4 linked regions of the Lonchura striata genome follow. Each later gene encodes a partner of the first gene's protein in a complex. Links are inferred from orthologs where the notes say so. Each region holds a gene or a part of one and is shown in the gene's direction. Other genes may lie near its edges.

Region 1 (7,698 bases):
GCCCTGAGCCACTCAGGTGAGCCCTGAGCTTCCCCAGCTTCCAGGTGAGCCCTGAGCCACCCAGGTGAGCTCTGAGCCCCCCCAGGTGAGCTCTGAACCACTCAGGTGAGCCCTGAGCCACTCAGGTGAGCCCTGAGCCCCCCCCAGGTGAGCCCTGAGCCACTCAAGTGAGCTCTGAACCACTCAGGTGAGCCCTCCTCTGTCTCCTGGACACACCTGACCAAGAGCTCCCCCCACTACAGTCTCACCTCTCATCCTGGGAGCTCCACAAAGCAAAGCTACCACATGAATTACAACTCACACTTCACCTGACACACGGAAAACAGGTGAAATTCCCTCTGTCCCTTTGCTACAGTCACTGCAGGCAGGTGTTTTCCAAAGGGGCTGGAATACCTCACACAGTCAGTGAGTTATCTGCCCAGGAAAGAGAGAGGAGTAAGTTATCAAGCCAGAGAGTTGGGTACAAGCTGAATGTAAACAGTGAGCAACCTTTGGAACTCATCTGGTTTGGGGTCCAGCATTTAAGTCGGAGATGTCCTTAGAAAGTTGCTCTGAAAGTTTAGGGAAGCAGCACAAAGTGCTCTGAAGTTGCTCCCATAAATCAGGGAAATGGAACTGCTGGAATTCTCTACTCTGAATTCTCTACTCAGCCACTTACACAGAGAGGTTCTCCTGGGGAGAAAACTCTTAGGATTGCTCTGCAGCTCCCAGTGGCTTCTCCCTGCTCAGGGCTGGACATTTCCTCAGCGCCACAACTCCGAGTTGTATCAGTGAACTGACACCTTGCACCTTCCTCACCCTTCCAAAGGGTGAGCAAATAACGTGTCAGAGTAGCACCACCAGGCAAAAAGGACTGAAGGGAAGGAGCAGAAAACTACCCAGGCCTATCCCTGAGAACCTCCCAGGTGTACACAGAGAAAACAGGCCAGAGGAGGAGCAGCCTGGAGGAAATTTTCACTGTAAAAATCACAGTGGAATACAGAGATTTTACGTCAGAGCTTCCAGGGGGGTTGAAACCAAGACAGAACTGCCAGCAAGGACAAAGGCGAGCTCTCCATGGAAGACAGCACTCCTGAAGTTCAGAGCTGCAGTAACAAAGACCAAATTCCAAAAGCCCCGTGTGCTTTGGGAACTGCTGAGCTGCAGGATGCAGCACAGCAACCAGGGAGCAGAGCATTCCTATGGCCATTGCATTCCAGGTCACATCTGAATTGCCATGGAGCTCCAAGCAAAGCTCCACAGCATCCATGGAGACAACTGGAAACTCACTGAACGTTAAGCCAGGGCTAGAGAAAGAAAAGATCAACATTAGACTATGTCACAGGATGATTAATGAACACCTGAAATAAAACGCACAGAGCTACCTTGAAATAATTGTTTCCTTCTGGAGCAAAGTTACTGAGTAAAAGGGGAGAGAAAATTAGAGATAAGCCAAAATCCAGCTGGTTGCTCCTCGCCCTTCCAGCCTGCCCACATTTCAGAAGGGAAGAAACTCTAGTGCTGAGAAAAGAAAGTTTAGGCTGAGAGATGGAGTTTGCACGTGGCTGCCTCTAATCCAAGGGGAAAGAAAAGACAAACCAGTTCAGGAAGAGCAAAATCCACCCCAAACGAGCCCTCCTGAAAAGCAGGATCACGCTCCCACACGCAGTAAACAGATAAAGGCTTCCAGAAATAGGTGAAAACATTCCCCGTGGCTGAAGTTCCCAGCAGGTAAGCGCCTTAGATCCTGCTCCGGGAGCCTCCCCACGAAGGGGCCACTCCAGAGGTGGGTGTAACTTAATCCCAGCAGCTCCTCCAGCCTCCCTCCCTGCCCGCAGCCAACATGGACGCTGCCTCCCGCCAGGCACAGAGGCGGTTCCCAAAGTGTCAGCCCCATTTCCAAAGGGAACGGTCAAAGCTCCCAGCCAAAGCCAACTCCACACACGGCACTGGGCAGCAATGGGGAGGAATCACGGAATCACGGAGTGGTTTGGGTTGGAAAACGCCCTGAAGAGCATCCCATGGGTAGGAACACCTTCCTCTAGCCCAGCTTGCTCCAAGCCCTATCCAACCTTGGACAACACCATGGATGGAGCATCCACAACTTCCTCAGGCAAGCGCAGCAGGGAACAATTTTTTCCCCAATATCCCACCTTAAACCCACCCTCCATCAACCTGAACCCATCCCCCCCTGTATCCCATCACTCCAAACTCTCCCGAACTCCCTCCCAGCTCCCGGGGCGAGGCGGGGCACACGCACCTGGCGATGGGGCTGCGGCTGACGGAGCGCTTGGAGGCGAAGGGGCTGCTGGAGCGGCGGCGCCCGTAGGGGCTCGGGGACCTCCCGCTGTAGGAGCCGCTGCCCCGCTCGTAGCTGGACGAGCGCCTCCGGCCGTAGGGGCTCACGGATCGCTGCCGCCGGCTGTAAGGGCTGGGCGAGCGGGCGTTGGACTGGTAACCCACGGGCTCCTTGTAGGGCGGGCTGAGGGATTGGCGGCGTGAGGATCCGCCGGGGCTTTTCCTGTAGGGATCGTAGGTGCTGGAGGTGTGCGAGCGGGGCGGGCTGAGGTCGTATTCCTGCACGTAGGAAGCTCCCGAAGGGCTGTCGTCCAGTTTTGGGCTGTCCGACCATTTCCTGTGAGGGCTCCTGGATTTCCTCTTGGGGCTGTCGATGGTTTTGTAACTTTTGGGAGCATCCCTTTTGCGATGGCTTTTGCTGCGCTCTTTGTGGCTGGACTTGAGCTCCCGCTCCTTCCTGGATTTCTCCTTGTGCGCCTTGGCCGAGCGCGATTCCTTGTTGCTGCTCTTGGAGGAGGAGAGCGCCTTGGGGTGCTCCTCGCTCTCCAGGAGCCTCTTGGAGGATCCCGAGATCCTCTCCTTGGCGGACCTGCTGGAAGCATCCAGGCTCTTTTCCAACTTCCTGTCCTTCTCCGCCTGTTTGCTCTTCATCAGCTCCCGGAGCCGCTTGTGCTGGTGGTGCCGGTGCTTCTGGGCCCTCTCGCTCCTCTCCGCCCTCCTCTCGTCGTTGTCCCTCCTGTCCAGCTTGAGGCCCACATCGTCCGAGAAGGTGTCCGAGTCCGAGCTGATGTCATCGTACTCCACCAGCGGCTTGATCACCGCTCCCAGGGGCGCCGCCGCTTCCTGGGCCGCCAGCGGGGACTCCTTGGAGTGCCTGGACTTGTGCCTCTTGTGCCTGGAGCCCGCCCGGTGCCTCTCCTTGCTGTTGGAGCCGCCGCCGCCCGGCTGCGAGCACGCCCCGCCGCCGTCCTTCTTGCCCCCATGCCTCTCCGGGTTTGGCATTCCTCCCCCGCTGCGCTCGGGAACGGCGAGGGGCGGACTCGGCGGAAACCCCCAACTTCAAACTCCCTCCGCGCCCGCCCCTCGCACCATCCACGCCGGCCTCGCTGCTCCCTCCTCACACGGGGAGCGGGGCCCGAGCCCCGGAGGCGGCGGGAGGGACGGGCCGGGGCGGGGGGGGGGGAAGGAGCCGGGAGGGGAGGGGGAAGCGCCGCGGCCTCACCGCCTCATCCGAGGGGGGCCCAGGCCCGGCGGGCAGCGCGGCCGCCCCGGGAAGGCGGGGCCCGGAGCGCTGCCCGCGGCCTCAGCGGCGGTGGCGGGGCCTGGGCGCGGATCCCCGGCCGAAGGGGCCCCGGAGCCGCCGCCGCCCCCGGCGCGGCCCCCGCGCTCTGCCCGAACCGGAGCGGCGCCGTCCGGGGGGCGCCGCCAACTCTCGCGAGACCCGCCCGCAACTCTCGCGACAACTCCGCCGCCGCCACCCCTCCCTCCTTCCCTCCCCGGCGAGTCCTCCTCGTCCGCGAGTCCTCTCGGGGGATGGGCGGGGCCCGCGCGCTCGTCCTCTCGCGAGAGCCGCCAAATCGCGCGGCGGCTCCTTCCCAGCGAACTTTAATCGGGGCGCGGGGCGGGGACAGCGCCCCCTAGCGCCCGGCCCGCAACAAAGCTCCCATGGCGGCGGCGCCGCCGCTTCCGCCCCGCCCTTTCCCGCCGCTCTCCCGCTCCGCCGCGCCGCGCCCTAAAGCCGCCGGCGGGTGGCTGCCGAGCCCTCCCCGGCGCACCGCCGGCTAACGAGCGGTTAATGCTCCGTTAGGGGCTGCGGAGCGGCCGCCGCGCTTCCAGGGCGCTGAGGGGGCGGGGCGCGCTGGCCGCCGAGCCCCGCCCCGCTCCCGCGGAGTCTCGCGAGAGCGCGGGAGCGCGGCCGCGGGCGCAGCGATGGCGGCGGCCGCCGCCGTGTGAGGGCGAGGGCGGCCCGGCCGCCGCCGCCGCTCCCGCTCCCTCTCCGCTCCCTCTCTCCAGTCCAGACCAGCCCCGCGTTTGCAATATGAAGGCCGCGCCCGGCAGCGCCGAGGGTGAGTGCGGCGCGAGGGGCGCGGGGGTTCCCGGTTCTCCGTGAGGGAAGGAGGGCGGCCCGGCGGATCCGAGGCTCCGCATTCGGGTTGAGGTTGAGGTGGCGGCCCGGAAAGTGAAACGGGCGAGGGTCACAAAGGTGGTTTGAGGTGTGGGGAGTCTCTGTGCGGAGGTGGAGGGAGCTGGGCCTGGTTGCTGTGGAGGAGAGGAGGATGAGGATGCTATCAGTCCGGGCAGATATCGCTAGGGGCTGTCAGAGCCCTGTTCAGACTCTGCTCAGCGGCAGGACGAGGAGAAACGGCCGGAAAATAAAACACAGCAAGTTCCACCTCGGCATGACGAAGAGCTTCTTTCCAGGAGGGTGTCCAGGGAGGGTGAGTGGTCTCTGGGCACATTCCAGGTGACCCTGCCTGGCTGGGTGATCTGCAGAGATCCCTTCCAGCTCTCTCATGGGATTCTGGACAACTCAGTGTTGGTTGAGGAGGGGCTTGGACCAGGTGAGCTGCAGGGGTCCCTTCCCACCTGCAGCATCCTGTGTTGATGCAGCTGAGAGGTGTAAAGTGCCTGAAAACAAATCCCGGAGTAGCTGGGGTTGGAAGGGACCCCTGGAGATGATCCAGTTCAACCCCTCTGCCAAGGCAGGGTCAGCTGGAGCAGGGGACACAGGTGGGTTTGCAATGTGTGCAGAGCAGGAGGCTCCAGAACACCCAGCATTCATTCATTCCTTCCTTACACTTGGGTTTGGAGGGCTCAATGTGAGGTCTGTGGGCTAGCAGAGCATCAATCAGGAGCCCAAACTGTGGAATTTTGGCAGGTGGAAGTCACAGGCTCCTGTGAGGTGACACTAAAATGTCATGTCTGCACTGGACCCTCTGGGGCTGGGGACAGGGTTTATTCTGGAATGACGTCCACTGGGATGGTTTTTTTGACGTGAAAGTATGAAAAGCTCTGTCTCTTGGCAATAAAACACTGGATTTCAGTGTTCATGAGAACCATGTTCTCTTTATCACTCATCCACTGCTTCATCCCCCCCAGCACATGGAGCAGCACAAGGGGACAGCAGCCCTCAGCTTGGAGCTGATTGTGGAGCCATGGGATGTCCTGAGCTGGAAGGGACCCCCAGGACCATCAAAGCCCAGCTCCCATCCCTGCACAGGCACCCCAAAAATCCCACCCTGTCTCTGAGAGCAATGTCCAAACATTCCTGGGGCTCTGGGCTCTACAGGAATCATCAACCCAATTCCTGGCCCTGCACAGGCACCCCAAAAATCCCACCCTGTCTCTGAGAGTGATATCCAAACATTCCTGGAGCTCTGGCAGCCTCGGGGCTGTGCCCATTCCCTGGGGAGCTGTTCCAGTGCCTGAGCACCCTCTGGGAGGGGATAAAAATTCCCAAAATCCAGGAATCATCAGTCCAACTCCTGGCCCTGCACAGGCACCCCAAAAATCCCTGAGAGCGTTGTCCAAACCCTCCTGGAGCTCTTGGGGCTGTGCCCATTCCCAGGGGAACTGTTCCACTGCCTGAGCACCCTCTGAGGGGGGGAAAAAACTTCCCAAAATCCAACCTGAACCCCCCTGGCACAGCTCCAGCCGCTTCCCCATGTCCTGCTGTGGGGCAGGAACGTGTCTGAGCACAGAATTTGGCAGAACTGGCAGCTGGAATGACTTGGCTGAGGTTTTTGATGGTGGAAGGTGTTGAGGACCTTTCAAGAAGTTGGGGGAGAGAGACCAGAGAGGGGATCCAGGACACAAAACCCACCTCACTGCTTTAACCCCGTGTTTCCCACAGCCTCAGTTTCTGGGGATCCTCTCCTGACAGAACTGAACCTGCTGAGGCCACATCACTCAGGGATGGTGCAGAACAGGAGCTGAGCATTTTCCAGGAAAATCCATAAGATTTTCACAGTCCTTTAGTTTTAACAGCCTGGGAGATTCCGTAACACTTAACCTCACCTCAAGCTCTGGGGTTAAACCAGCAGTTAGCAAATTCTTTGAAGTCATTTTCAGCTTAAAGGTGGAAAGTTTTGTGTTGTTTAAGTGGTTTGCAGAACTTACCAAAGTTGGCTCACTGTGTTCCTGTGTGACAGAGGCAGAGAAGCTGAACAAGATGAGCTCCCTCCTGGAGAGGCTCCACGCCAAGTACAGCCAGAACCGGCCCTGGACAGAAACCATCAAGTTGGTCAGACAGGTCATGGTGAGCATTGCTGGGCTCTGAGCTGCAGCTCCTCTGCTGAAGGATTTCTCTTGGGTTTTTAGACCTTTTCCAGGTGTTTTTTGTTGTGTCCATGTGTCATGGTTTGATGCTGGTATCCCCGTGAAAATGCAGCTTCTTAATTGGATGCTGTGAAATGTGATTGAGAATAAAGCAGGCGAAGCTTAATAACAAAAAGGAAAAAAAAGCTTTATTAAGCTACTACTGCTATATTAGTATAAAAGAAAAAAAAGAAAAGCACACATAAAATTTGAAATTAAAACCTTTCAAAACATTCCTCTTCTTACTATCTAACTTTAATAAACTACAGTGACACACATTTGGACTCTTAATGAAGTATTTACCTTTTAATATATAATCAATACTGAGTCTAAGAGGGGACAGAGGAGTCTCCCTTGCACTACAGACCCCCAGGAAACACAGCTGCCACCTCTTGTGTTTCTGTGTCACACGTGGCACTGCCTGGAGAGAATCTGCCAGTGTGACACTCCTCTTTTTGTCACTGTGCTCTCACCACCGTGCATGGACAGAGACTGCTCATTGGGCTCCTTTGAGGATGCTTTGCCAAGGACCAAGAGGAACAACAGTCTAGTGTTTAATTTTGGGGCTACAGTCCCCCCCATTTTCCTCTAGAGCCTTTAACCCCTCTATATTAAGAGCATGTCTACTTTCAGTTGGTTATTCTAAGTGTCAATATTTACACCTGACCCCTGACTACATCAACTTCTTCCTGCTGAAAAGATTCTTTTTCTCATGTCAAACCACAGCACTGTGGCTTCACTCTCTCCTGAGTGGTGCAGGGGAGGGAGGGATGTCCAAACCTGCCCAGCCTGATGTGCCTTTCCGTTCCCTAATTAGTGTTCAGTGCCAGGGAAAGAGTAAAACCTATATTTCCTGCTATTTACCCTTCCAGGATATTGTTTTGTGGAACAGTTTGTTCAGTGACACTCAACACTCAGCCCTGGCTTAGTCAAAAATGGGTTTAAAATATTGGTGTGGCAGCAGGAGGCAGGGGAGAGCTACAACAAAACCTCCTGCCCACACTCATGTGTTAAAAGTTTGCCCAACTCTTTATTTTTCTGTCTCCTCTTCTAAAACTCTCAGCTTAGACCTATAAAAAGTTGCTACATTCTGTTCTTCCAGCT
Region 2 (7,684 bases), on another chromosome or scaffold:
CTTAGTCTGAGCACAAACTGCCTTGCCTGTAGCTTTCCTAATATGATTGCACTGCGCAGAGTAGATACTAAAATTTATATTAAAATTTCTTTATGCAGGTTCCCTCTAGGGAGAGGAAGAGGGAAGGAAAAAGCTTCATGTGACAGATGCTAATTATGCAGCTTAATGCACTTCTGGAAGTTGCAGAGATGAGAACTCTATAAGAACCTATCTACAAAACAAAGCACATTTTCAACAGCATTTTTTTTTTCTCAATTCTTTTTTTAATCTGCCTCCTCTCTGTTTTCCAGGAGGCTTTATTTCCCAAAGAGTACCAAGGGCAAGCAGTGTTTCAGGTGCAGAATTCACCTGCCATGGATGGGATTATTCTCCATTGTGTCTTGGTGTTCTCAGGTCCTGTGCATGGGACTGGGAAAGCTTCAAGGTTCTGAGCCAGGAAGGGTTTGAGTTCAAAATTCCCCAGTTGATGTCTTAGGTTTCTTCCTTCTTTTGTAGATATTTTATCAGCTCCTTATCCTGTGTTTAGGTTTACTGGATAAATGATGTTCTGCACTTGTGCTGGGATCCTACAGAAGGGTTTATTATGATGAATGTGCCAGGACTGATGAACCAGATCCCAAAATGCATTATGTGGAGAAATGAGCTGAGGTGCTCAAAACTGGGAGGTGCAGCCACACCAAAGCCAGTGTTAGACACTAATCCTCTCTTCCAGACACTGAGCTGTGCTGTTTGAGGGACAAGAAATGGGAAAATGATCCTGGAATCAATTCAGACTTGCAAGAACCATTATCCTGGATATCTAAATCTACCAAACCCCTTTTACCAAATGATTTATTTTTCCTCTTAGTGCTACACCCATACCATCTCCCACGTGCTTAATGCCGCTTTCCCCGATGTCCTCCATCCCCCTGGATTTCTCCGTGGGGAAGAGTGACTTGAGAACCTCTCCCGCAGGGACATCACGGTGCCGCTGGGACTCCCGAGGGGCTCGGGCTGGCCCCGGGCACCCAGGAATGCTCCTCGCAGCCCTGGGCTGCAGCCAGCCCAGGGAAAACCATCTGTTCCCTTTGGAAAGGGGTTTGCTTCCCCCCGGAGCCCTCCCCCCGCATCCCGGCTCCGGCCCCAGCTGCCGTGTTTCGATGAGCACTGAGGGAATGAATCTCCTGCGTTTAAAAATACTCTGCTTCTATTTAGATGAAAAGAAGAATCTTGCTTGCCTACACTGGCATACAAAAATAGGCTCAGTGTGAGTAAATCTTCAAAGTTTCTCTTGGCGAATATATCTAGCCTCACTTTTTTTTTTTTTTTTTAACTTATATGATAAGTTTATTTATAGAGTGTCCTTCTTTCCTCCTACTCTATCAAGACATTTGCAGAAGGTTGTCGCTCGTCTTGTTCAGGAGTCCTGAAATAATTTGCAGGGCCTTTGAAACATCATCGTGTTGCATAGTTGTGATCAACGTGCTGCTGTTGCATGAACATATCATATTTTAATGTGAATGTCAGGTTAGCTGAGACATTCGGGGCTTTCTTTGACTTTAGCTGCTTTACACTGGTTTGTGTTTTCGCTTGAACACTGCAGTAAAAATTCTGCATATAGTAATTTAAAATTTTCCATTTTACATGCAAGGCATTGCCTAGAAAATTAATGTGTAATATGAGAGGATTAGTAAGATGTATACACTTTCCAAACATCTCTTAAAAATAGCTTTCACTGTCACTGTAGCATCTTAATTCTGAATAATCTCACAGTCCTTCTGCAAATCTGTGCATGTAGTAACAGAGAAGCCACCTACTTCATCCTCTTGAACTGCATAATATGGATCTGGGCATGGAAAAAAATGGGTTTTGGAGTAGGGCTCTGCTTTGGCAGAGAGGCTGTCTGTGGAACTAGTGAGAGCATTAACACTTGCATTAAATATTAAAATCAGCTTTCACAATTCTTGCCTATCTTTTCAAAAAGGCTCCAACGGCCTCAGTTTGGAATTTGCTCCGTGGTGCAGATCTGGGGAATCCTCTGCCAAGAGGTGGAAGCTGAGGAAGGGGAGCCAAGGCGAGTGTTCCTGTGCTGGGGGACACTCTGTGCCCGGACTTTGGCCCAGGCTGACCGGACGTGCCCTGGGCTGGGCTCCGAATCCCGGGATATCCACCGGGACTGCTGAGTCCAACCCTCACGGGCCAAACCGGGATCAGCCCCAGGAACGGACAGGAGCCCCGGCAGGGATAAGGGGCCTTAGGGGTGTGTAACTATCGAACTGGGGGTGCCAAAAGACGCGCCAGGCTCTGCCCCGTGCTGCCAGGACATGGCACAACGGGCAGGAACCGATGTCTGAACGAGAGGAAGAAGGTGAAGAAGCGTCCAAGGACTGGTGCCAGTGTCCCAGCCATGCTCCTGTGCTCTGGGCTGCCCCTTCCCGGCGGCCCGGGAGCCGCGGGCCCGGCGGGAGCGGGACTCGAACCCGCGCCGCCGCCGCCGCCCGCGGCCGCTAGATGGCGCCGCCCCAACGAGCAAGGCGGGGGCTCCGCAGCGCCCCGCACGCCCCTGGCGGCCGCGCGCCGCCGCCGCACCCGCCTTCCCCCAGCGGCGCCGGCGGCCATGGCGGTGCGCGCCCACGTGACGGCGCGGCGGCCAATGGGAGCGCGGCAGGGGGGCCCCGACCGCCGTCCCTGCGGCCGCCATTAAAGAAAAAGGGTCTCGGAATTAGCCGGGAGCCGGATCCGCGCCCGCTCCGGCCATGGGGGACCCGCGCTGAGGCTCCCGCCGCCACAGGATGCCGCGGCCGGGCAGCCGCCGACAGAGGCACCGCTGAGGGGAGCCGACGCGCCGGCGGGGGCTTGGCGGCACCGACTCCGCCAGCGGCAGCAGCGGCCGCCTGTGTGTCGGCGGCGCCGGGAATTGCGGGGCTCCGACCCCTCGGGGCTGAGCAGAGCCCGGGGCTCGGCCGCCGCCTGCCCGCCCTGCCCGGGAGCCTCGGGGAGCCTCGGCGAGGGCGCCCTCCGCCCTCCGCCCCCGCGGGGACCCGCACCTGAGGGCAGCGAGCGCTCTCGGGGCTCCCCCGCCCCCCAGGACACACCGGCCGAAGACGATCGTTTTTTATATTCCAACCCCCCACCCCGCCTTTTTTTTTTTTTTTTTTTTTTTCCCGCTGTTTTGTTGGGGTTTTTTTTTGGTTTTTTTTTTTGTTTGTTTTTATTTTTTCCCCCTTTATTTTTAAAGGACCGGCCTCGCAGCCGAGCCGGTCCCGCCTCGCCCCCCCCGCGGCCGGGGGTCTGGCGGGGGTCGCTGCCCCCTCCCCGCCGTGACTCGGCGCGGTCCGGGCTCCCCGAAGAGACTTTGCGGGGTCCCCCCGAAGCCCCCGAGGACAGCTGGGGAGGACCAGGCTCCCCGAAGACACTCTGCGATTTTCCGCCTCCTCCTCCCCCGAAAAGGCTGGGGATCGGCCTCCCGGAGACTCCTCCATCCTTCCCCGAAGAGACTTCGAGGGTCACCCGCAATTTCCTCCTTCCACCCTTCTCCCCTCCCTCCTTCTCCCCACGGAAGGAATTTTTACCCAGCGGAGGATATTTTGGTTTCGCCCTCGCTGCGAGGAGTATTTCGTTTTGGGGAGGGGGGGTTTCCACACGGGAATTTAATCCCCCGCTGGGCTGCTAAGGAGACTTTTGCGGCCTTTCTCTCTCAAGGAATACCTTCCCCCCTCCCCTGCCCCCGCAGATGTTTTTTTGGGGTACACCCCAGGAAATTTTTCTTGCTCTGCCTTTACGAATTCTTCAGACTGGCCTTGCTTCTGGCCCCTGAAGTTTGTTTTTATGATTTTAAATTTTAATTTATTTGGAATATTTTTGGAGCAGGGGAGAAGAATCTGACCCCCCCACACCCTGTTGCCCTCGGACTCCGAAGAGACGAGCCTGGATTTTTCTCTCTCCCACGGCCAATCCTTCCCAGTCATTCCACAATTTGCCCCTTTCTCATCTGATGACTAAAGGAACAGGAGGAAGAGGAGGGGGGGTTCTGGATTAATTGCCCCCGCTGGATTATTTATTTTTCCTGCTTCTCTTGCTTGGCATCCGAGAAGAGAGGAAGGAGGGATGTCAACTGATTTTTACCCCTAGCCCCCTGGATTAATTACCCCATTTTTATTCTCTTGTTGGATCAATTACCCCTTCACCTTACCTCCTCTCCCTCCCCTCCTTATGCGAACGAGAAGACAAGAGGAACAGGGAGGATTTTGATCTTAATCTCCCGTCGTTGGATTACTTACCACCTCCCTCTTTCTGTTCTCCCCTTCCACGGCGGCTTTACACCCCCGATTGAGCTCCAGAAGACGAAAAAACGTTCTGAGTTCCTCTTTAATTTTTTTTTTTAATTTTATTTTTTTAAATATATTTTTACCCCCCTCTCCTATACCTCTCTGTCTCTCCTCGCGGGTTATTCCCCCTGCCACTATTTCGCGTGCGTGTGTCTGTAAATCCCTTATTTAATTGTATTATTATTTGTGCGTGTGCAGAGCCCCCCTCCCCCTTTCCCTCTCGCTGTCTGTCTCTCCCTCTCTCCCTCTCTCTCCCTCTCTCCCTCTCTGTCTGTCTCTTTCTTTCTTGTCGGAGGCTGTGGGATAATGGCGTGTGGGTTGTGGCTGTGAGGATGAGTTCCTGCTTCGTGCCGAACGGGGCCAGCCTGGAGGATTGCCATTCCAACCTCTTCTGCCTGGTGAGTGTCGGCCCCCGGCGCACACTCGCCCGGGGCCACCGAGGGAAGGGCTGGGAGCTCTGGGGAGGGGGAAGGGGCAGTGGAAGCAAAGCAGCCATTTTTAGCAGAGCTTCTGCTGGATGAGCCCTCGGAGTAGGCCCTGCCTGGAGCAGCCAACTCTCCCATGCCCCTCTGGTTCCCCTCCATCGCTGTCTGTCTCGCCTCGCCCCTCCCTCCGCTTTCTTCCTGGATAGTAGCCTCCCCGCAACTCGCCTTTTCCTTCCCTTTCCGTGCCTTCCAACTTTTCCTCCTTTCTCCCCTCTATCCCTGCCTCTGAGCCTTTTCTCACAAGGGAAGGGAGCTGCTGCTGCCTCTCCTCCCGGCCCCACATCTCGGGGAACTTTCTCTTTTCCCTCCTCGCTCGTGACATCCCAGGCGAAACCTCCCGTATTCCTCGCTTTTAAACGGATCCCTTTCCCTGCTTGCTTTTATTCTGGAGGGTTGCTTTTGGTGATGCCCTGCCTGTCTTGTGTTTTGATGTGCACCATTTTGTAGTCTTTTTTTAAGCCAAGTAGCACATCGTTCATATTGTTGAATTTTGGTAGCTCCAAAAGTAAATTCGATATAACTGGACTGTGATGCAATTTTTTGGTGTCTGTGCTGAGCTGTTTCATCAGCTTTTAATGCAAATGAGCTAATCTTAGCTGTCTGACTGATATTTATGATTCCAGAGATTGTTACAACAATCCTGTGCCAATCTGTGGCACTCGTATTTTTGGATGGAGGGGAATCTGGACGGCCTGACTATGTCTGCAGCCTGCACCAGGCCTGCAGCTCCAGATTAATAGTACAATTTTAAATCTGAAAGTCTTTCTCAAGTAGCAACTGTTGCAGACAACCTTTCATCCAAATTGCTCTCCTGCTGAAGGTAGGGAGGCTGCCATGTTAGGTTTAAATGTTGCAGTAATCTTTTGTGTGTTGTCATATTGGGAAGACAAAAAATAGTAACTTAGCAAATGCCAGCCTGCCTTGCTCTGCCTTCCCAAAGAGAACCCGGGGCAATGCCTCCCCTACCTGCCTTAAGGTGCTTGAGTGACAAAACTGAGAGCTAAAACTTGGTGTTGTGGTGGAGATAATCCAGGAATTGTCTGCTTCCCATTACACAGAGTAGTAACTCTTGCCCTGTGTAAAGTCAAATTAATTATTGCCTAGGAAGGGGTTTAGTGGATCATTATCAACGTGCTTGCAGGTCTAACGAGGATTTAAATCCTTGAAATGTGGTGTGAGGAATGAAAAGTATGATAGCTCTTGGTAAAATCAGTGAACACGAGAGACTTCCCGAGGGAAAGACAGAATTTTTTACCATGGAGAAACTTGTGAAATTTTCCCAAGTGGTAGATGGCTGGAAGAATGTGTGATTTACTGTATCACCTATTTCCATGGAGTAATCTTGGATGGAAAAGGCAGTGTATGCACAAGTAAAGAAAGCCAAAGATGTTCTTTGCTAAGGCAAGTGTTTAGGAGATTGGACTGTGTCAGTCTGTGAATAATAACATTACTCACTCGTCTTTCACTCTTTACTTTAAATCAAATCTGATTTTTCTCTGTGTAACCTTAAAGCTGCAGTGCAAACAAACAACTCTTGCTTTACTGCAGTTATTTAATGAGCTATTAAAGCAGGATCCCCGATTGTTCCCAATGTACCTCCTAAGGCACACAAAACTAACCAACGTGTTTCAATTCTGAGGGATCCCTTTCTCCCCGTGCCATCACCTCGAAGCAGGATGTGCTCGCTGGAGCTGCCTGAGCCCTGACAGTTCTTTCCTCTCTCCAGGCTGATCTGACTGGGATTAAATGGAAGCGCTACGTGTGGCAGGGCCCAACGTCTGCCCCCATCCTGTTCCCGGTGACGGAGGAGGATCCCATCCTCAGCAGCTTCAGCCGCTGCCTCAAGGCCGACGTGCTCAGCGTCTGGCGCCGGGACCAGAGGCCTGGGCGCAGGGAGCTCTGGATATTCTGGTGGGGGGATGACCCCAACTTTGCTGACCTGATCCATCATGACCTCTCAGGTAGGAGCTTGCTCACACCATCCTTTGGTCACTGGAAGTACTCAGGGCTGGCTTCTGACACCTGCACCAAGTCGAGTGTTGTCTCCAGAAAATAGAAATATATTGCTGTAACCCTCACCAAATTATTACAGCAATGATCAACCATCTGCTCTGTGTTCAGCTCACCTTGGACTGCTGGATTTTCAAGAAACAAGGGTTTTGCTCCCCACTTGTTCCCTTGGAAAAAAAAAAACCAAAACACAAGCCTATGAGTTTTGGCAGCTTCTTCATGAGAAAGCTGTGCTGAAAGCTGTGCCTGTGATTCACAAGTGATGTCTTAAACATGTTTTGATAAGATCCCTTTTGTTGGGCAATTAGAATTTTTAAATTCAAATAGTAAAACTCATTATGTAATAAGAAGTGTAGAGATCTGGGCAGCTCTTGAACTGTTTGGAGTTGTTTTGGTTGGAATTCACACCATCAGTGAGAAGCCCTCAGAAGGAGGCACCAGGAACTAACCAGCTATTCCCATGCAAAATCTGTAAACCTTCAGTTTTTGTGATTCCTCTCCCCCCCTTTTCCTGGTGCCCTGAACCTGCTTTCAAACCCAGCCCTTTGAAAGACTGACAATATTTGTATTTCTCAACAATGTTGTACTTCAAATTTGGCACCTTCCTTTGGAACTGTTTGCTTGTTGAGCTCGATTCCCCACGTAGATGGTTTCCAGCTGCTTATCAGCAAGGTGACGAAGTTAGATATTTAAATTGGGTGAGTCTAAAGGTGAGACTGAACTCATTTGAGGGGAAAAAAACACCCAACAAACGCATCACTCTGATTTCCTTTCAAATAATGTACAGTATTCAGATTACTGAAGTGTAAAATGAGACCAAGGTTTGGTGACCTGGTAACCAGAAATTGTTAATGCTGCTTGTGTGTGTGTGGATAAGCTGGA
Region 3 (7,222 bases), on another chromosome or scaffold:
TGGAGTGCGAGAAACTCTCATTTAGGTTACTCAGCTGTCCTCTTCTTTAGCAGTTCATTGTCACCCCAATAAACATGGCTCCAGTAGACTCAAAGAACAAGACAGAAAGCTGCAGAAAAAGGGAAGAATTAGCTGGTCTTTATGAACCAGATGCATCCAGCTTTCCTTGAGGTTACAACTGCACCTTTGAATCCCCTCACACTGCTCCCAGTGACCCAGGGAGTTGTAGAAGCAGAGCAAGATCCTCCTGTGAACTGTTTGGGAGCCCTGAGAAATGGGATGCCTTGTTCTGAGCATCTGCTGGGAGGATGTAGTGAATTATCCATCATTCGTGAAGTGAATTATTCCCAGTATTGGCAGTAATATAGAGCACGTGTTTTATACTGGAGAAGCTGCACAGGGTTAGGTCCCTTCTTCTGTGATAAAGGGACAATTAATCCTTTCCTCAGCTGTTCTCTCTTAGGCAAAAATGCAGAAAGGAAAAACTCGTTTCATGGGAGCCATAGCCAAACTGGGATTTTGTTCCAGCTCCTTTTATTAGTGCCTGGCTATCATGGTTCCTGTCTGTTTCTGTCTCCCTCTGAAGACAAAGGTGGGACTTGCATTGCTGGCAAAACTTGCTGCAGATCCCAGGGTTTGCCCTGGCAATACAACACATTTGCTGTACCCAGGTCACTGTTTGCTGGACAGGAATTACTTCTTTGTGCCATGCAGATGCATTTTTTAAAGACATGTTAATTTACTTGTTTACATGTTTGTTTTAAAGACATGTTCATTTACATGTTTGAATAAACAGTTACAACAGGCATGTGAGCAAGAAAACACCCAGCATTAATGTCTGGCTCAAAAATCAGGTTGGGGGGCTGCTTCCTGAGACAATACTATGACTATGAACATAGGAAGGAGTGCTGGGTGATTCCATCAAAACATGCCTGGATTTTGAGCCCTATCAGTTTCCTAATTGTAGTGAGATACCTGGTTTATTGCTAAATAACCATGAAAGCTCTGTTTTGAGCTTTGAATCTGTTTGATAACAGGCCATAGAGCAAGAAACAGTTTAGCTGTCATGCACTGCTCTGTGTTGTGCCCCAGTTTTCACATGATGGGAACATTAAACTCCTACTTCAGCAGGCGTGCCAATAGGCTGCAGCTGATATTTTAGTCTGAGGAGTCAGGAAGAAAAGGTTGCACAGTACTGCACTGCAAATTCATTCACTCCCAAAGCCACAGCGGGAGGCAGGGAGATGGGAATTAACCACAGCAGATGGAGACATAAAGCTTGGTTAAGTCTCCTTCACCCCCAACAGGCTCCTTTTCTCTTGCCCTCCTCCCTGGTTTATCCTGCAACAAAGCCTGTAACAATCACCAAAAAAGGAAATTCCTGAGCTCATTGCTTAACCAGGCTACAAGATCTAACCCTAACCTACGCCCAAGAAGAGACTGGAACCGAGTTTGACTTTGGCGTTGTTTTTCAGACAACATGAGAAAAACACACACACATCTATTTATCTATTTATTTATTATTTAGAGTGCAATAGCAGCAAGAAATGAAAGAAATCTGTTGTAGCACAGAAGAGAGAAGCACTGTTCTAAGAGCATGCCTGAAAGTGGGGTTTATATTTACTGTGCTTGTACAATGTTTGGATTCCAGTTCTGCTAAAATAACAGCATACTGCAATGGCACACACTGTACACACTGCTGCTGAATTAACAGAAATGGAGTGCTTGCTACTGAAACATGCCAATTTGCATAAAATTAGTTATGAAGAAAATGAAAATAAACTTAACCAAAGCTATAAATTAAGATATTGAGTCTTTGAGGCAGAGAATATCATGGTACTTTTTCACCATCTGTTGAAGGGGTGTCGAAGTTCATTCCCACAAGCTGGAGATGATGTAGGAATTGTGCTTCATTACCAGTGCTAGGCTTGTACTGGATAGTGCCCTTATTTCAGAAAAGAGCTGGACTGGAGCAAGAAGCAAATTGCAGAGTGCTACACTTGAGATTCCCCGTCATTCTTAATTTCTCATTTAGAAGCACTGTAAGGAGAAGTGTCAGCTGCTCCCCGTGGGCTGGAAAGGGTCATCCATGGGTCTTCTGAGAAGCAGCCCTGCCACCAAGAGCAAGACTCATCGATGTTATATTCCCTCTGTCTTGGCCACCATCATACAGAAAATGCGTCAAGATCACAGAGATCGAGGGAAAAACAAGAGCATGGCTCTCTCTGCCTGCTCCTGTTTGAAGTCACAGCATTTTACATCCTTGCTGCATGGTTCACTGAGTGCAAGGCACTAGAGAATCAAGCTCAGCTCCTGTAAAAAGAATGTGAAATCAAAGTCTGGAAAGTCCAATGAAACCAAGGATGTGTTGGTACCTCCTACTACATGTGTTATCTCATGCATCTCTGGAGGCAATGATTTTTATTCCTTATCTTTCTTTCAGAGTATGATGTAACAAGATGATTTGAGACAAGATAAGAGATTTCTGTCACAGAAATGGAGAGGACAATTCCCCACCCCATGTTCCCAGCCTCCTCCTTTCCTTCTGCCTATGCACAGTCCCCTCTCAAAACCTCTCCCTGATGTTCACAGGGTACACAGCACAGCATGTTAATTCATTAGAAAAGCTGAAAACTTTACAAAAAAAAACCCTGCAGTAATGTTTTATGGGTTTGGAGCTGCATCAGTTTGCTTTGCAATCCAGTGCCTGATGGTGGTGGCACAAGCAATGACAAGAAAAGGGTGCACAGCCAGTGAGGGGCTGGAGGAGCAGGGAGGGAAGAAAGAAGAGAGGGAAGAAAGAAGCAGGAATAGAAGTGAAGGAATGAGATCACCTTTTCCAAAGGAAAAACGTTTTAGTTGCAGCATGGAACTGCATCCTTGTCTGAATTCAGCAAATTGCTTACAAATGAAAACAAATCAGCGTATTTTTCAGCCAGGCTTTTACTCACTGTAAAGTGCAGTTCAGTTTGGAATATTTAAATATTCAACTCATTGTAAATTGTAAAGTGTAGCTTAATTTGCAATATATAAATATTCAGATATTCAGTACATCGTTTCAGGCTTTCTCATCAAATAAGTATAACGATTCTGGATCTTCTTTGCATGTTTTTAGGAATAATTAGCAGGATCCAAAGTAATTATCATTCAACTGAATTTTTTTTAGTAAAGAATCGATCTGGAAGAGTGAATCTGTAAGTGACACTGCGTGTGCGGTGATGGGTCCCTAACACCCAGGCCATTGCTGCCATCTGCTGAGGGAGAGAGAACGGCACAGAAACGGCCAAGTATCGAAAAAACCTTCCTTGCTGGCCATTTCAGGGAGAAAATCCCGCAGAAGCGATGCCAGCAAGCCCAGCTCCACCTGACCCGGTGAAAAACTTACATCCACCATGTTAACTTCAACTCCTCCTGGAAGAAAACGGAAAGAAAAGCAACGGAGCCCAACTGTTTGTCAGTTATGGTCAGATTTAGCGTTTTCTGCTGCCGGATGGCTGCAAACACTTCCCAGGGGGACCTCGGAGGTATTTTCCAACCGGATTGGTTCTGTGATTCCTGTGATTGTTCCGTAATGCTGTTGTCTCCCAGCAGCGGGGCCGCCCTGACGAGCGCTGTCCCCGCTGTCCCAGCTCCCGGGGCCGCCGGGCTGGTCCCTCCTGCCCCGGCGCTCCCGCTGCCTCACAGCGGCTGGTGGCGAGGGAGCCCGCTCCTGGGGCACGGGACACCGAGGGGAACAACGCCGAGGGACACAGGACACCGAGGGACACAGGACACCGAGGGACACAGGACACTGAGGGGAACAGGACACTGAGGGACACAGGACACTGAGGGGCACAGGACACTGAGGGGAACAGAACGCCGAGGGACACAGGACACTGAGGGATACAGGACACTGAGGGGCACAGAACGCTGAGGGGAACAGGACACTGAGGGGCACAGGACACCGAGGGGAACAGAACCTCTGAGGGGCACAGAACACTGAGGGGAACAGAACGCTGAGGAGCACAGAACGCTGAGGGGCACAGAACGCTGAGGGATACAGGACACTGAGGGGCACAGGACACCGAGGGACACAGGACACTGAGGGGAACAGGACACTGAGGGGCACAGGACACTGAGGGGAACAGGACACTGAGGGACACAGGACACCGAGGGGAAGAGAACGCCGAGGGGCACAGGACACTGAGGGGAACAGGACACTGAGGGGAACAGAACGCCGAGGGGCACAGGACACTGAGGGGAATAGGACACTGAGGGGAACAGAACGCCGAGGGGCACAGGACACTGAGGGACACAGGACACCGAGGGGCACAGGACACTGAGGAGCACAGGACACTGAGGGGTCACAGAACGCTGAGGGGTCACAGATCGCTGAGTGGTCACAGACCGCTAAGAGACCACAGACTGCTGAAGGGTCACAGAGCGCTGGGGAGGGTCACGGACCGCTGAGGGGGTCACAGACCTCTGAAAGGTACCCACCGCCCCAGGATGGGGCAACCCCCACCCCGCCATACCGGGAACCACGCCCCGCGCCTGGCCCCGCCCCCGAGCGAGCTGAGTGGAGGAGCGCCTGACTGCTCTGCGTCACAGCCAATCAGAGCGCGGCACCGCGAGGCCGCCAACCAATAGGGAGAGAGAGGAGAGGGCGGCCGGGCGGAAGCGGCTGCGGCGGCGCTGAGGGAGCGCGGCGGGCGGAGCGGGCAGGTGAGGGCGGGAGGGCCGGTGCGGCCTCCGCGGGGTCCGTGCGGCCTCCGCGGGGTCCGTGCGGCCTCCGAGGGGCCCGTGAGGCCTCCGAGGGGTCCGTGCCCTCCGAGGGGCCCGTGCCCTCCGCCGGGCCGTGGCTCCGGCTCTTGTTTCTTCAGCACTGACTTGGCGAGCCCCGCCGCGGGGTTTGGGCCTCCCCAAACTCCCTCCTCCGCAGGGCAGGGCGGCGGGTGTGGGCCCTGCCTGGTTTCTCTCGTGGGCGCGGGTGAAGAGGGGAGGCCGCACGAGGAGCGGCTGAGGTCACTCGGTCTGGCCAGCCCGGAGAAGGGCAGACTGAGGGGGGATCTCACCGCGGGCTGCAGCTTCCCCCCGAGGGGCAGCGCCTATCTTTGCCCTCTGAGGCCAGTGACAGGGCCCGAGGGAGCGGCTGGAGATGTGCCGGGAGAGGGTTACGTGGATATTAGGAAAAGGTTTTTCCTCCAGAAGGTAGTTGGGCACCGAACAGGTTGCCCAGGCTCTCCTTGGTCACAGCCCCAGGCCTAAAATACTTCAAGAAGCCTTTGGGAAATGCTGTCAGCCATGGGGGAGATTTTTGGGGTGTCCTGTGCAGGGCTTTTGCAGATCCTTGTGTATTACTTCCAGCTTGGGATATTCGGTGATTCTGGGGGGTTTGCCCACCAGGACCCATCTAGGGAAGGGGGTCACCCTTCTCCCTTTGGCTGCCTAGTTTACAGGCTGCTCTTTCATATTTAGAGAAATGAGTGTTTTGTGTGCTTCTAGTACTTGGTATAAGTAAATCTTAGTGAAAAGATAACGTGGATTTGCCAGGAGTTTCCTGTATTCTGCAAATGGATTTGTCTCTTCTTGCTCATTTTCTTACTGCCATCTCCCATATTTTGTCTTTTCTTACATTTATATTATAAACTTGTGACACAAATTGTTAACATTTGTTTCTTGGGTCATTCCCTAGAAATTTCATCTGGCAAAAATGGGTGAACCTCAGCAAGTGAGTGCCCTTCCTCCGCCTCCAATGCAATATATCAAAGAATACACTGATGAAAACATCCGTAAAGGCCTGGCTCCAAAGCCACCTCCTCCTGTGAAGGACAGCTACATGATGTTTGGCAACCAGTTCCAGTGTGATGATCTGATCATCCGGCCCCTGGAGAGCCAGGGGATCGAACGGCTGCATCCTATGCAGTTTGATCACAAGAAGGAGTTAAGGAAACTTAACATGTCTATCCTGGTCAACTTCCTGGACCTCTTGGACATCTTGATAAGGAGTCCAGGGAGTATAAAGCGAGAGGAGAAACTGGAAGACTTGAAACTGCTTTTTGTCCACGTGCATCACCTTATAAATGAGTACCGGCCTCACCAGGCCAGGGAGACGCTGAGGGTCATGATGGAGGTGCAGAAACGGCAGCGCCTGGAGACGGCCGAGCGCTTCCAGAAGCACCTGGAGCGAGTGGTGGAGATGATCCAGAACTGCCTGGCTTCCCTGCCCGATGATCTGCCTCACACAGAGGGGGGACTGAGAGTCAGCGTGGAGCCCATGGACACTGACGATGGCAGCAGCTGTGCTGGACAGAGCGAAAAACAGAGGGAGCGTTCTGGTGGCAAGAGAGATCAGGTTTTGGACAAAGATGCAGCAATGTGCAGCATTATTGATGAGATGACATGAAGCAAACAGCTGGTTTTGTTAATGCACCGCAGTGAGAGACAGAAGGGGTTCTGAGGATGCATTTTGTATTTTGTTTTGCTGTTGTACAAGCAGAAAGAGCAATTGTTGTGCACCTGTTGGAGGTTGTGGGTGACTGGGCAGATGAAAATGTTTAAAGTTTTGTGGTTTTTTGGTAAAAAATAAAAAGTCTAATTTTTGTTAAATGTAGCATGTGAGGTCGTAGGCACAGATTAAAGTTGGCTTTTCCTGTTGTACTTTCATTGTTTTGGGTATGCCATTCTATAATTCTTTATGCTGAGTCAAGAAGAAATTCCTACAAAAATGGTGTTTGTTTTTTGCACAAACAACACACAGGAACTTGGAAAACAGGCAGACAGAAACTCTGATTACACGAAAGCAATCCTTATGGTCTGTGTTTGAGGTGAAATCTAAAGCAAGTGGGTTAACTGGTGTCCTGTAGCTCTCACATCCTTTTATTGTGTGACCTGAATGGCTTTCCTGGGATCCTGGCAGAGACAGCCTGCCCTGCCTTTCCCATTTTTGCAGAGCAGTTTCAGGATCCTCCTGGTAATTATCAGAATTGTTCCTCTAGCAGCTGTCTGCAGTTTCCTCAGAAACCAGAGGAGCTGAGAGGAATCCTTTTCTTAAGGAGTTCTACTTCCAGCTGCTGCATGCAAAAATCACCTTCATCCGTCTATCACTTCTTTCCTACAAGTGTATTGCTAGTTTGTCTCTCAGACATTAATCCCTTGGTTTTCCTGATTTTCCCTTAAAACTGCTGTCAGTTTGGTGCCTCTCTTCTCCTATAAGGCAGTCATGCAAGGCAAGGTTCCAATT
Region 4 (7,549 bases), on another chromosome or scaffold:
TAAAAAGAAAACCAAGTAGAAATTGCTAATAACTGTATTAAGAAACACAATCCACTGAACATTCTGTCTTGCTTCTTTGTTGTGCTGTGTCATGCTCATGGACAGGCTGTGCAGGGAAGGAGCCGGTTTCCTGCAGGCTTGGTAAAGGACAGTAGAGATTGCACCAGAAGTTACGGGAAAGAAGATTTGGGAATTGGAAGCAGACATCAAAGGGGGTACAGAGTTGACGTAAATAGAAAAGAGATTTGAGAGGGGACAGTGAAAGTTAGCTTTAGCTGGAGACGGGAGAGAATGAGCACCAAAAGATGTGTTGCAATAGCCACTCGTGAGTAAGATTTGAATCACAGCTATGGGGGCGACAACAGGGACAGATTTTAAGTATATTGCTCAAGAAGAGAAGCTCAGTGACATGGATAAAACACCAACTAGGAAACTGAGATTGGGGAAAAGGGGTAACAAAGGCTTCACTGAGCCAACAAAACAAAAGTAGGAGCAAGTGGGAAACCTGGATCAGAAAGAAACTCTTTATTTGGAACAGGAAACATTCAAATAGTATTCAGTTCAAATGACTGGAAATACAGGGGTAAGTAAATTAAAATGAATTAAACAACTAAATTAAGAGTACATTTATTTCCAAGGATAATAGGGAAAAACCTGCCAAAAAAAAGGAGGAAACCTGTTCCCTCAGTCACACTATGGCAAGCACCACATTCATCAAAGAAAGGAAGGAGCAATCCACCCCAAAAGGATAATAACAAAAATTCGTCCCAGTTCAAGATACCAAGCAGTGATATGTTTTCTAAAAATGTATATGTTTATTATATTAAGCTTAAGTGATTTCTAGCAGTCCCCAAAGATCAAAAACAAAACACACAAATAAACCTGGCAAACCTGCTGAATCTGGTAATGCAGTATCCAGCACAAAAATAAATGTATAGAAAAGGAATATTACACTGGAGAAAGAAATCATTCAGATGAGAAGGAGGGCAAATTTGGGAAAGAATAGCCACAGCTGAGTTTTAAGAGTAATTGTTTATTGCCATAAGGTGTTTTCAAGTCAGTCTGCTTCCTCCCCATCCAGCATGGGCTCTCCCTCAGAAGAAAGATTTGGGACATCCTGCTTTACTGTAAGAAAGGTGCTTGTTCTGCTAATAGTTTTCTTTAAAGAGCTTTTTTTTTTATTAAAACAAAGAAATTAAACACACTGGTTGTAATAATGATGAGAGGGTAAACATTAAAAAAAAAAAAAAAATCATCCATTCTCAACCTGACTGGCAATCATGTAGTGAAAACCCACAGCAACAATGACAGTACCAGCATAAAGAGTAATGAAAGGAGTTCTAAACATTTTGGCTTAAGAAGAGTTAATAAGTTTAAAGCACCATGATCTTACATGCAACTGTTCTGAAGTCTTTTTCACACAGGAAGAGATTTATGGACACCTGCAATGTTTGATCTTGATGCTCTGACAAGTTATGAATTGTTTCAGTAAGTGAAATGAGCAAAGTAACTTTCAAACATGAAAAGAAATTATCTGAATGACCAAGGCTATACCTTATATAGATGGGGTGGCATGGTAAGCATCTCTAACAGAAATTAAATGTAAGTAACAGCTTCATTGCTTATTTTGTTGGGAAATATAATCTCAGCTTTTTTTAAACATCGAATGTCTAAATAGTTTTGTGGAACAGTAGGCTTGTGTAAACCTGTAAGTTGCATCCTGCTTCCATCCATAACCTGTCATAGGAAAATGAGGTAAATGAGCCTCATGTGACTTATCTAAATGTTTTCATTTATCACCTTTAGCCTTAGAGCTTTGTTCTAATCCAGGAGAGAGACATGCATCTAAAAACAACCAGCCCTCAAATCCAGCCTGACCTAAAACCAACAGCAAAACAAAGCAGCACAGATATTTCTGTACCCAGACTGCTATGCTGGGAGAGAGCTTCATAAGGAAAGCTCAGGGTGGATACATCTCAATGGTCTCCTCTGCTTCACCAGTTTTCTTGACTGTTGTTTGGGGTTTTTTAAGGGGTTTGATTTAATGAGAGAGAACTGTGCTTTTAGCAATTATTTGCATACTGTGTATATTAAATAAATCAGATTTAATCCTCTCCTCTTCATTATTACATGGGGCTTTTGGCTTTGACATATTTTGACCAAGCACAAAGGGGCAGGATCCAGCATGCACAAAGTTATACAGAAAAAGAATCAAATTACACTTTGACAGTTTTCTGGACTTCTGCTAGTGACCTCTGCTCATAAAACTTGTTGCTTTGTGATTGTCCAGCCTCTTCTATTCTTTTAATAAGAATGATTCAAAGATTAATGTAATTAATTTTCCATTAGTACATGTTAGTTCTATAAGGCTTCAGTAGGCAGTCATAGAGAAACAGAACCCTGTGTATGCTATTTCAGCTGATAAAGTGCTGGCTGCAGTACCGGGTCTCTGCAGTTCCCACTTCAAATAAATACTCAAATGGGAAGGCTCTATGGCTCTATCGACTTTGTAGTGGAAGTATTTCACGATGACCCAGCAAAAACAAGGCCCATTGTCTGTTAAAATCTCTATCATCAAATCAGCGAGAGAAACCACAGCAAATATTTGAGCTCAGGGCCAGCCCACTTCCTGCATTCTGCCAGTAGCTGGAGGAGGAGGCAAAGGCACTGCCAATTCTCCCTGCTATGGTCTGTCCTCCCAAACTTCTGAATGAGTCTGTGCTGACTTGGAGCTGCTCATCTGCTCCCACAGAATTGTTATGAGAGACTCCATATCTGGCCTTTAAATAAATGAAAAGGCATTTCTCTTTTGCAAATGAAAATGTTTTCTGTTAGAAATGCTGTGTGTGGCTGTGCAGGCGTCTGACAAAGCCAGCTGGCTACTGGAAAGATGGAAAATCAACAACTGCACAAATGTGGCTGCGTCTTCCACAACTGTCAAACTGTTAGGCAATTGTAAAAAGGTTATTGCACATTAACAGAATATAAAATTAATTGAAGGTTATTACAGCTAAAAACCTAGTAAATCATCTAACTTCTGATTTCTAAAAACTTGCACATTTAAATAACTAATGGATTTTTATATTTAGTATGGTATTAAGATTTAAACTGTGATACAAATTTACACGATCCAGTAATTTTCGATAATCTACACTTTAAAAGCTCTTTCAGTACAGAATGGTTTACTGCAGTCTACTGTGCAAATATTTAAAGTGTGACATGGATTCTCCTCCTTTGCCACTTTCTGCAACACCAGTCATTTTCATGGACAAAATGTTTCCAAGTTCTTTAGAAGAATCACTTCCAGAACAGGGGTTAAGAGCACTCTCCTCCATGCCTGGAGTAACACAGCCCTCCTTGCTGCAGACGGAACTTGCTACATGTTTGGTGTAGGCTGAGGAGCCCACAGTTCATAAACAGGAAACAACCCACAACTCATTTTGAATTCCAATAAATATTTTGTGTTTTACTGCCTTTGGGACAGCACTTGTGTGTGAGTCAGGACAAGATGAGGTGTGGATAAAAAGCTGAGTCAGCCTGGCATGTCCCTCACTGGCAACTGTGGCAAATCCTTCAAAACGTGCATATTCCCCAGGCAAAAGCCTGCATCCATTCCAACATCTTACTCTAGAAAATTGTACTGCAGCACTTGCATCATGTCACCTCACCTGTGATGAAATATGTAGGTGTTAAACCTGGGTATTAACCTGCTAAATCAACTGATTCTTGTGGCATAGGGTGTTGGCCCAGCTTGGGACAGACCATGGAACAGCTCTGGTGGTTGAGAAGTTAAACAGTGACCAGAGCTAGTTTGAAACACTTTGAAATACTTTAAATCAATATAGGGCTTTTAGTTATCTTCTTTTTTCCATGGTCAGTATTGCCTTTTGCTGGCTGGTCCTGAGCCATGCCTCGGGGCTTTTCAGCCTCCACAGTCACTGTTGTTTCTGCACTGAGTGCTCTGGTGTCCAGGGCCATGTGCTAACCCCAAATTTATGATAAATTTATGGAATTAAGTGTAGTGCTCACTGTGCTATGGACCAAACCCCAAAACAGTGCTCTCTTCCCTTTCTAGACCTCATTTAACTTCCCACTGGAAACCTCTGAAGTGAGTCCTGTTTTATCATCCCGGTACTGTGTCATTGACTGCTCAACTCACTAATTAAGTGAGGTTCCTGATTAAATTTTGGTTTTGACTGGTTAGTTGGTTGGTTGGGTTTCTTTCTTCCCCACACGGAACGCAAACGTGAAGGCAAGCACGCACTTACATATTCTGAGAAGTGTTTCGCGGAGCGGTGGACGGGCGCGGCCACGGCCGTCCCTCAGGCCGGCGGCGCTGCCGGGCCCGCAGCGGGGCCGCCCTCCGGCCGCGGGGCTTCGAGCGGCCGGCCCGGCGTCCCGGGGCTCGGCCCCTCAGCCCCGTCCCCCGGTACACAGCGGGGGCTCGGAGGGAGCTTGGGCCGGGGCTGTGAGGGGTCTGAAGAGTATGAAGGCAGTGAAGGCAAGGAGGAGTTTGAAGTAGGGGGATGTGAGGGCAATGTCGGCAGTGAGGGGTGTGAAGGGAGTGAGGGCAATGAGGAGTGTGAGGGCAGTGAGGGTGTGAGGGCAGTGAATGGAGTGAAGGCAATGAGAGGTGTGAGGGCAAATGAAAAGGGCGAAGGAAATGAGGTGCGTGAGGGCAGTGAGGGGTGTGAGGGGTGTGCGGGCACTGAGGCTTGTGAGGGCTCTGAGGGGCGTGAGGGCACTGAGGGGCGTGAGGGCACTGAAGGATGTGAGGGCACTGAGGAGTGTGCGGGCACTGAAGGGTGTGAGGGCTCTGAGGGGTGTGCGGGCACTGAGCGGTGTGCGGGCACTGAGGTGCGTGAGGGCACTGAGCGGTGTGCGGGCACTGAGGGGTGTGCGGGCACTGAGGGGTGTGAGGGCACTGAAGGGTGTGCGGGCACTGAAGGATGTGAGGGCACTGAGGGTTGTGCGGGCACTGAAGGATGTGAGGGCACTGAGGGTTGTGCGGGCACTGAGGGGTGTGCGGGCACTGAGGAGTGTGCGGGCACTGAAAGGTGTGAGGGCTCTGAGGGGTGTGCGGGCACTGAGGGGTGTGCGGGCACTGAGGGGTGCGAGGGGAACGGGGCCGCCCCCGCCCCGCCAATGGCGCACGGCCGCGGCGGGAGGTGTGTGCCGACCTCACTTCCGGGCCCTGTCACCGCCGCTCCGCCCCTCTCCCGCTCCCTCCCCGCCGCCGCTCCTTCCCCGCCGGCAGCCGGGCCGCGGCCCGCCCCGCCCCGCGCAGCGCGTGGCAGCGATGCACGGTACTGCCTTAGGGGCGGCCTCTACCCGCGCCGCGCCCGTGTCCCGGCCGGGGCGGCGGCAGGAGGCGGGAGCGCTCGCCCGGCATTGGGTGACGCCCCCAGCTCGCTAGCGCGGCGGCGGCTTTGCTAATGACCTGTCCTTTCTTCTCCTCCCCTCCCGTGCTATTCGCTGTTACTCCTCTCCCGGCCCCGCGGTGCGAAGCCCTCGGCGGAGCGGCGGCGGGCGGCAGGAGGAGGTAGCCGGCCCGGGGAGATGCTGTAGCGGCTGCGGGAACGGGGCCGAGGAGCTGCAGGACGGGCAGAGCCGGCCCGGCGCAGGTAAGGAGCCGCACGGGGAGCGGGAGTTCGGGGCGCTGGAGGTGGGAACAGAGAAGGGGGCAGTGCGAGGGGCTGGTTGGCGACTGTCGTGTCTCCTAAATGGAACAGCTGGGTTGCCCTTATCCCGGAACGAGCTCGGGCACTGGGCAGAAAGTGCGTGCTTGGGGGTTCCCGCTGTTGGCCCGGCTCAGTCGGGCGGGTTGTGCTTTTCCCGGGCGGCTGCTCACAGGAGGGTCCTCTGGCCTGAAACCAGGAGCAGGTCAGGAACGCCTCCGGGCCTTATTCTGTGGTTTGCCGCGTTCTTGGTTGTCCCTGTGGGGCTGGATACTTGCTTTTCAAAAAGCATTCCAGCAGTAACAAAGGAAAGGAGTGTGAAAAGGTGTTGCCTTGTATTCATATTAAGATTGACCCAGTCTCACTCAATGATACAGGAAGCTGTTCCTAAGCTCTCTGATGGAAGTAGTATGAGCGCAGGATTCGTCACACAGGATTATCTGGAATGATTATGTTTGGCACTTTTAGCATTGGGTGTCTTAGTAGTACTGCACTAATAAAGGTGTTGCATAAGTTTTGTTGTGAAGGAAAATCGTGGTCAAACTCCTTGCATTACAGAATATGCACAGACTTTCTCATTGGCATCTGGCACTGCTCACCTATTAAAATTTGCTTTGCAGGCAGCAAAATGGATCAGCTGTAAAAACTATTTCCTTTGTTAATCCTGAATCATTGACTTAGCATTGAGGCTGCTACCTGGTCTCGTGCTGGAACTGAGGCACTTGTGGTTCATGTGATGTGGTCACACGTCTGCTAAACCTGAACCAGTATCATAACTTTTGTTGGCTGGCATGAGCTACGGAGCAGCCATCAGCTCCTGGTGACTTTGAGTGGCAACTTTGGGAATTTCAAGTAATACAATGTAGTGTATTGGAAGGATGAGAGTATGCAGAGCTTATGGGAGATTTGTGGAACTCCCCAAAGAGCATGCTTGCTGTCTTTTCCCATGTTGGGAAGGAACTCTTAGTATGGTCCAAAAAACATTCTTAGCAAGCTGTTGGTGCCTTACATTGACTGTCATCCTCTACAGTCAGGTGCATATGGTGTTTTGGCTACTTATTGGAAACACCTGGTGGGTTTGTAATTTGCTTTTCAGTAGTTCTTTAGTGTCCTCATTTTCTGTTAATAGTAGTAGTCTTCATAAAGGGTATTATGAAATTTAAACCATGGAGAGAGTTAGGCTTCAGTTGTGATTTTGTGTTGTTATGCTTGTAATAGTTCACGTGCAGAATGTTATAAGAATATAAGGGACAATAATGTCCTACAGGAGAGTAGGATATATGGCCTGAGATATTTATCTTGTTCTAAAGAATGTATTATAATGCTCACTGTTGTCCCAAAGCAGGCAAGGAAACATAATTTTCTTATTATTTTTTCAGAAGCAGCTTGTACTTCAGAATTGCAAACAACTCTATTCTTGTCCTTACTTTTATATAGCTTTCTTGATGAGATTTGGGTTCTAAGTTCTGCTTCTATTGCACATGTCATATTTTTGCAAGGGAAAAAACAGAGAACACCATACTTATCCTGGAAAATAAATGAAGCTGAACTAGTATTTATTAAATGCACAAGCATATTTTTGTACATAACTTTGGAATTTAAACTTTTTTTTTTAATCCAGTTTTTCAAAATCTCTCTGCATCTCTAATTTGCCTGATATGTTTTAGCTATGTATGCTTATTTATATATATACAGGCCTTATAAAGTATATAAAACCAAAATCTCTACCTTTGAGATGTAAATCCTCAAAATAAAGATCAATTGCAAAGACATCTCATGGGGCTGTGTGTGCACCTTAGAAACTATAACTACTGTAAATAATTCCACAGAAAGACTTTGTGAGAATGCTCTTTACAGTAAAAGTATTTTAC

The links.
Region 2: MED1 (region 1) and MED13 share a complex: the UniProt entries of both Homo sapiens proteins name them as parts of the mediator complex. The link is inferred for Lonchura striata from reciprocal best matches to the Homo sapiens genes MED1 and MED13.
Region 3: MED1 (region 1) and MED7 share a complex: the UniProt entries of both Homo sapiens proteins name them as parts of the mediator complex. The link is inferred for Lonchura striata from reciprocal best matches to the Homo sapiens genes MED1 and MED7.
Region 4: the proteins of MED1 (region 1) and PPARA are in contact, whole or in part, in a crystal structure (PDB 9IWM), measured with the Homo sapiens proteins. The link is inferred for Lonchura striata from reciprocal best matches to the Homo sapiens genes MED1 and PPARA. Residues at the interface, in NP_004765.2 of Homo sapiens: Asn638, Thr639, Asn641, His642, Pro643, Met644, Leu645, Met646, Leu648, Leu649, Lys650; in NP_001001928.1 of Homo sapiens: Val284, Thr285, Thr288, Glu289, Lys292, Phe297, Leu302, Asn303, Gln305, Val306, Thr307, Leu309, Lys310, Pro458, Leu459, Glu462, Ile463.

What each region holds. Positions count from the first base shown.
Region 1 is NC_134627.1:7,131,466-7,139,163, reverse strand, and holds the start of MED1 (mediator of RNA polymerase II transcription subunit 1), read left to right. Parts: upstream 1-4,422; 5' UTR 4,423-4,790; coding exon 4,791-5,007; intron 5,008-6,428; coding exon 6,429-6,535; intron 6,536-7,698. Other genes in the region: CDK12 (cyclin-dependent kinase 12), read right to left, coding at 2,240-3,279. UniProt on the Homo sapiens protein: Component of the Mediator complex, a coactivator involved in the regulated transcription of nearly all RNA polymerase II-dependent genes.
Region 2 is NC_134622.1:9,291,172-9,298,855, forward strand, and holds the start of MED13 (mediator of RNA polymerase II transcription subunit 13), read left to right. Parts: upstream 1-4,516; 5' UTR 4,517-4,639; coding exon 4,640-4,705; intron 4,706-6,518; coding exon 6,519-6,753; intron 6,754-7,684. UniProt on the Homo sapiens protein: Component of the Mediator complex, a coactivator involved in the regulated transcription of nearly all RNA polymerase II-dependent genes.
Region 3 is NC_134617.1:4,516,828-4,524,049, forward strand, and holds MED7 (mediator of RNA polymerase II transcription subunit 7), read left to right. Parts: upstream 1-4,649; 5' UTR 4,650-4,704; intron 4,705-5,674; 5' UTR 5,675-5,692; coding exon 5,693-6,385; 3' UTR 6,386-6,639; downstream 6,640-7,222. UniProt on the Homo sapiens protein: Component of the Mediator complex, a coactivator involved in the regulated transcription of nearly all RNA polymerase II-dependent genes.
Region 4 is NC_134607.1:4,995,087-5,002,635, reverse strand, and holds the start of PPARA (peroxisome proliferator-activated receptor alpha), read left to right. Parts: upstream 1-4,380; 5' UTR 4,381-4,429; intron 4,430-5,344; exon of another isoform or gene 5,345-5,508; 5' UTR 5,509-5,624; intron 5,625-7,549. UniProt on the Homo sapiens protein: Ligand-activated transcription factor. Key regulator of lipid metabolism. Activated by the endogenous ligand 1-palmitoyl-2-oleoyl-sn-glycerol-3-phosphocholine (16:0/18:1-GPC). Activated by oleylethanolamide, a naturally occurring lipid that regulates satiety.